Tribolium castaneum: one gene and its partner. The protein of the gene in region 2 purifies or fractionates together with the protein of the main gene of each other region. This does not show direct contact. Links are inferred from orthologs where the notes say so. Each region holds a gene or a part of one and is shown on either strand. Other genes may lie near its edges.

Region 1 (2,715 bases), on a different chromosome or scaffold from region 2:
ATTAGTTGTTTTGTAAGTTATCCGTTGATGAGGTTAATTGTAAATAAAGGATTGTGAATTAAATAAAAATATATTTTTCTGTTAATAACAGTTACATGCTCGTTTCTTTCTTCAACCACTATAATTATAATTAAGTCAGAAAAAATTTCTGGAAAGGTAAACAAAAATGAAATTGTTCTTAAATACCTAAATGACATAACGGTGCAGTCAGAATTATTTTCAAAATTTAGCCAAAAATCATCCAAGTTTTAAAGTATTTTTGAGGTTTTTTTTTTAATTGAAAACTCACTTTCGATATACAGGCTAATTTTTAAATAGACCGATAAAATTTTATTACTCATGGTGGAGCTCGCAAAACGGACAGCCTGTGTACACGGATCACTGAGGTTTTACTGTATTTACGTAAGTGCTTTAAAGCACAGACTTTGCCACCTTTTAATAAATCTTAAATAGCTTATTTTGAATAAAAATTGAAAACGAATTATTAACCATCATAAATAAACAAGTCATTTTAAACTTTTGACGCTGGGACGCAAGACATATTTTTGGGTACATAACAAAGACTGATTTATCGAAGCATAAACTTTATTATTAGTGAATAAATTCAAATACTTAATCTAAACCTTCTTTCTTTTCCTTGATCGCTTCCTTAAAACGTTCTTCAAACAAAGACAACTCTGAAATCAAATCTGTGATAGAATTCATCAAAGCTTCTTGAGGCGAATAATCAGATGTTGTTTGAATTCTCAACACAAATTTATGCTCAAGTGGATGAGGCACCTTGTATCCAGCAAACAAAACGTTCGGATCTTTTAACAATTGGCTAAAAAATCAAAAATAATTCAACCTAAACCTTAATGTTTTGTTACACACTTTCTGATCATGTTTCCCAACGTGTGGTCTTCTTTGTTTATGGTAAAAATAGCCGCGTTTGGCACTTTTGTGTCTTGTTCCCTTATTATCCTAAAAACACAATTTGTAAAAATAAATTTTTGGTCCAGAGAATTTGCCCACTCACTTTTTCTCTCCATCATAGAGCAAAAATGACTCGAAGGTTGGTGGCGCATTCATCCTGAATGGAAATACTGTTCACTGAGCTTTTTAAACCGCTTATTAATTTTTAACAACTTTTTATTAGTGCGTCACTTTTTTGTGGGTTATGTCACCTGTCCTGTCATCTGTCAAAAACCAAATATCGGAATTTTTTATTTTTCTGTTTAAAAACTTATCGAACGTCTAATAGGGTATTACAAATGCCGCCAAAATGAAAATTGTAGCCCTATTGTGGGTTCGATAATGGAAAATAAAATTAGGGTGCTTCCCGACTAGTGTTCAGTTGGTCCACCAGGGGGCGCGTTATTTGGCTATCTTTTCTGGGAATAAATTCGTTTTAAAAACCAAAAAAGCCTCAAATTTGGAAAAATCCACGTGAAAACGTTACTAACGAGTCTACAATTAGTTGGAGTTTGAAAAAATTGGTAATAAGTGTGAATAATAACGATCTGATATCAGCTGATAAATATTAGGGATCGGCTCCTCTCTGCTTCAGTCTGTGGCTTCAGTGTGCGTGAGTTTGTCATCGAGGAAGGTAGTTTAGGAGGTTTCGCTAAAAATGGCGGAAGCCACAGGTGTATCAAGTGTAAATCCGAATGCAGAAGTTGTAAGGGGTCAGGTATTTGAGGTGGGCCCCCGTTACACGAACTTATCATACATTGGAGAAGGCGCATACGGAATGGTCGTGTGAGTAAATTTTCCTTATCATTAGTCGCTGTGGTTTTCTAACTTACACGCCCTAAAATTGCGGATATTGTTCCAGTTTCAGTAACTCGATCATTTTTTAGTTTTACCGGTTTTGTACAAAAAGAAAAATGTTCATAAAGTTGGCGGTGGCTTGTCAAATGGTTTTTTCATTAGAGGTTGAGGTTATGTATACATAACTTCCTGTCATTAGTTTGGAAGAAATCGATGTTTTAGGACGGTAGCCTGGAGACAAGTGATTTATTTAAAGTTTTTGGCTGATTTCGGGCTTTTCCGAAATTGATTCATTGGCTCCGAGTTTCATACATGAAACAATTTGCTATTTTTAACTAACAAAACATTTAAAAACGTCAAATTATTTTATTTTTAGAAGACAACACCGACTACTTTTCGGTAATTTTAGCCTAATTGTTAGAATAAATTGGTATGATTATTATTTTGTGACTTTTTTCTTATTTTCTGTTTTTTAGTTTTATTGTTTTTGCATATTATGCTAAAATGAAATAATTTATTCATTAATTGTTGACAGTAGCACTTATTTGGTATATCAACTAACTTTTTTTATTAATAATTAATATTGTATTATTACTACTATATATTATACTTATTATAGATCCTACATTTAAAAAACATTGAAGTTATCTACGCTTACAAATTTTTAAAAAAATTGTTGGGTACCTTATTAAATACAGTGTGTATCACACAATTTTAAGAGACCTGTTTTTAAAGTGCTCATCCAAATACCATGCGATTTACTAAACTTTTGATCTAGTTATTCATGACAGTTAACGTTATTACGTTAACCCGATGTCCATTACGGAAGAAGGTTCCAACCTGGATTCCAACATAATTTTTTTGTTCTTTGCTGAACATTTTGGACATAGTGACAGATAAAGCAATGCTGAAGATATTTACGCAATTCGTTTCTGCTGGCGAAACTCATGGTAACTAGATCAA
Region 2 (4,108 bases):
CACTCACTCTATACTTTCAACGAGAGATCTAATCTTAAAAAATAATTAAGTAAAATGCGATGTTGGTCTTTCTATACTTTTCAACAGCTAATAAAATTCAAAAAAATTTTTTTAATGAGCAATCGAGATTTTCTTAAGTGCACGATAAAAGCAATACTACTTACACAGTATTGGTAATTTTTTTAAATTTATGATAGAATTATATCCTAATTTAATTCTTTGCACGATCCAATTAAAAATTAAAAATGTCAATCTAAAAAATTCTGTAAAACTTGTAAGAGTTTAGTTCCTCGTCCACAGGTTGCAGCACTATATAAAAAAAATTACAGTTTCCTGTAATATAAGTAAATCGAATTGTCATTTCTAGAAAAGTTTCTGCACAATAAAAGCAATACTACGTACAAAATATTGGTGAGTTTTTTAATTTATAATGAAATCATATCCTAATTTAATTCTTTGCAAGATCTTTAAAAATAAAAAATATTAATCTGAAAATTCTGTAAAACTTGTAAGAGTTGGGTTCCTCGTCCACAAATTGCAGCATCATGTAAAAAATTACAGTTTCCTGTAATATAAGCAAATCGAATTGTCATTTTTAGAAAAGTTTTTGCACGATAAAAGCAATACTACTTTTACAATATTGGTAATTATTTTGTAATTTATAATCAAATTATACCCTAATTTAATTCTTTGCACGATCTAGTTAAAAATAAAAAATGTTTAATCGGAAAATTCTGTAAGATTTGTAAAAGTTTGGCCCTTCCACCACAGGTTGCAGCATTATGTAAAAAAAAATACAGTTTCCTGTAATGTAAGCAAATCGAATTGTCGTTTCTAGAAAAGTTTCTGAAAATAACGTTTCAACTTTTTACGATCATATCGTTCAAATTTTGTAATTATATCGATAAAACAAAATCTAAACATGACCGAGAAACCTAAGTTAGATCTTGGTGTTCTTGAGGAGGACGATGAGTTTGAGGAATTTCCGGTTGAGGGTAAATTTGAGGTTACAAAGTGATTTGCAGAATTGTTTCTCTTGCTTTCAGATTGGACCGGGAAGGACAAAGATGAGCAAGATATTAGTGTCTGGGAAGATAACTGGGAGGATGATAACGTGGAAGACGACTTTAACAAACAATTGAGGTAAAAAATTAGATGTTTGTGGACAAGAGCTACGAATAATTTTTTAGGGCCCAGTTGGAAAAACAGAAGGCCAAACCTCCAGCAAAGTAGTGGTAGGTTTACTTTAAATTTAGGAGTAATAAAAACAAAATGCAGTAATTTTTTTATTTTGTGAAACAAATTAAACACTAAAAGAAATCAGCGTCATATCTTTCACTTTCGGTTCTTGATCCAACTGCACATGACAGTAAGGCTTGAATAGTTCTTTCCTCCCCGCTGCCGTAAATGTAGCCATTGGCCTAAATAATTTTTTATGAGTAAAATACTAAAATTGGTTGAAATAATATATTACCTTATCAATAGCGCTTTTCAAATTTAATAAACTCCTCTCAGACTTAACATCTAATGGAACAAAACAAACCAAACTGTAGTCCTGAATTAAATCAACCAAAGCCTTGTTGAGTTTTTTGTATTTACTTGTAAGTGGTGCATCATCCAATAAGTCTAGTAGATAATCAAGGTTTAGAACATCAGTATAAAAATCAATATTGAAATCTAACTTATCCGCATTCTTTTTCAATAAATCAGCCTAGAACGAAATTTATTGTCCACAAATTATACAAATGTTTTCGTTTATTACCTTTGTTAAAACATTAACATGTGGTAGGGCAATTTGCATCATTGTGGAAAGACTCAATAAAAGGGTTGAAATAAATTTTGAAGGGTCTGAACAGTAGTGCGAATCCACCATATGGACAGCGCACAAATGATAGCCCATTTTCTCCAATTTCCCAAAAATATTCTTGATAGAATTATGGTGTGTATAGAGCTCCACTTGTCCTGGCATATCAAAAATTAAGTAGCTGTTTTTAATTTCAATCAACTGCTTCAACAGCCAATCAAAATTTTCCTCCAAGTACTCCATACAGTACATAAGGGCCCCGTTGGGCCCTAGCTTCAAAGTGTCCATTACGTCTTCAACAGTCACCAGCTTCATAACATCAATGGCAGGATTATAATTCATATTTTCATTAGCTGGGTCTAAGTTCACAACTTCCACTTTCCTGTTCAACTTGTCCTTATAAAAATCGTAAACCTTGCCGCAATACGTGGTTTTGCCAGAACCCGGGGGCCCAATTACAACCTGGCCAAAGTGATTCTCAGCAACTTTTGTTCTCTTTGCCGCAGACATCTTTATCCTGGGAGTAGTTCTTAATAGCTTCAACAATACCGAGGACTGTGTCCCTTGAATACTCCTTCAAGTTCAGGAAAATGAGTAGTTGTTTCCTGATATTGAGTTCTTTAGTTATGAATCTGGCGGCAGCTTCTGCGTAGATATTTTCTTTACCAAATAACTGATGAACTGAAAAGACAGGTTCGGAGGCACACACTCCGTTTTCAGTCTGGTCCACTGAGACTGAGTACAAACTGTACAATTTGCCGAATTGTGTGATCACGAAGAGATTCTGATTCGTGAAAGTACCAATTGCAAATTCGGTGGGTACTTCGTTAATTTTTGCAGCGAAGTTGAAAATATTTGATTTGTCGGTTAGGGACAATGAATTTATGAGTGAGGACACTTCCATAGTCACTTACACATAATTACAAATTACGAAATTATGCTGGTTCACTAAAATTAGTTCGAAAAGTGAGGTTGTGGTAGTTTGACAGTGTTCGCGACTTTTGTCAGGGACTGTACATTGGTGTATTCTTGGTTGCAGGACTTTATTTACTCAATTTTTTGTGTACAGGGGCTGGTCTAAAATTAATTATATTTTTTTTTATTAGAATCATAAAATTCCAAAAATTGTAAACCGATGCGTGTGATCTGTTATGGATGTGGCCAATTGAAACTGTTGTTAAGACAGTACTAGTGTTATTTAATGAATCATCTAAAATGGTTTTTATACAATTCATAAATAAATACAATTAAAAAAAAACCTTAAAAATTAATTTTTTTGGTAACCTTTTAAGCCTTCTTTTTAATATCTGAATCCTAGATTATAAAACACGTTTCCGATAGCAACGTGTTTTCACTATTTTAAAACACGCTTCCCATAGCAACGTCTTTTAAATTAAAATGTTCTAACGAAAAAAATTTTGAATAACACTTATGCGAACACGCTTAAAATTCTCGGGTGTTTTGGTACGTAACTCACATACGTTCGTTGCATAAAGATAGCCCTCGAACTTTATATAATGCTGATGAAAATGCGTATATTATTTTATTGAAAAAAAAACTTTTTTAATACATATTAAAAAATATCTTTGATGAAACCTCACGATAATTGATTCTTTATGTTCGAACTATTCTATACTCTCTGCCTCACTGGATTCTCCTGGAGTTTTCACAGTATCATTTTTGGTGACTAACATTTTTCGGGAAACTTTTATCTTTAAAAAATTATATTTTTTCTGAGGCAATTGTTAATTTGTTTTTTCTAATGTGGTAATTAATTCAAATAGAGGGGATACAAATTAAAATGGTGTAAATTAGGTATAAATATTAGCTGGCAGTACTTTTTGCATCATTCTGTAATAAAAGCTCAAAGAAAAGCTAGTCAAAGCTTCGCTCGTACTCGTTTTTTAAACTCTTTTTGCTGCATAAAGAAATTCAAAGCCACACATTTGTAAACCTCATCCACACAGGTGAAGGCTAAAAAACAAGAAGCGACGCTTCCGAGTTTCTGGTTCAGTGGTTTAAATACAGGTTACATAATTATTCAAACGAGTGCCATTTCCAGTCCCATTTTCTCTTGTTGCAAGACAGTTTTATTTAGTAAAACCATCTGAAAGCGCTCTATTTCGAAAAAGCTGCAAAGTGAATCCAATCGATTCGACGCTTGATGACGTCTTTGCGTAGAGGGGAGAATCAGTGACGTCATGTCGTCTTCCTGCTAGTACAACTAAATGTCGAACAGATAGGGAGACGTCAATACCGCACTTTTCAAATCAGTGCAATTAGTTAATGTGCGTTTTTTGTATG

The links.
Region 1: the proteins of GPN-loop GTPase 2 (region 2) and Polr2J purify together in Homo sapiens (affinity purification with mass spectrometry; 3 studies listed by BioGRID and IntAct, counting the BioPlex papers as one, with this or other methods). This does not show direct contact. The link is inferred for Tribolium castaneum from reciprocal best matches to the Homo sapiens genes GPN2 and POLR2J.

Annotation. Positions count from the first base shown.
Region 1 is NC_087395.1:21,130,967-21,133,681, reverse strand, and holds Polr2J (DNA-directed RNA polymerase II subunit RPB11), read right to left. Parts: upstream 1,315-2,715; 5' UTR 1,072-1,314; coding exon 1,019-1,071; intron 964-1,018; coding exon 874-963; intron 824-873; coding exon 613-823; 3' UTR 568-612; downstream 1-567. Other genes in the region: mitogen-activated protein kinase 1, read left to right, coding at 1,613-1,740. UniProt on the Homo sapiens protein: Core component of RNA polymerase II (Pol II), a DNA-dependent RNA polymerase which synthesizes mRNA precursors and many functional non-coding RNAs using the four ribonucleoside triphosphates as substrates.
Region 2 is NC_087394.1:30,157,353-30,161,460, reverse strand, and holds GPN-loop GTPase 2, read right to left. Parts: upstream 2,813-4,108; 5' UTR 2,315-2,812; coding exon 1,763-2,314; intron 1,712-1,762; coding exon 1,475-1,711; intron 1,422-1,474; coding exon 1,311-1,421; 3' UTR 832-1,310; downstream 1-831. UniProt on the Homo sapiens protein: Small GTPase required for proper localization of RNA polymerase II and III (RNAPII and RNAPIII). May act at an RNAP assembly step prior to nuclear import.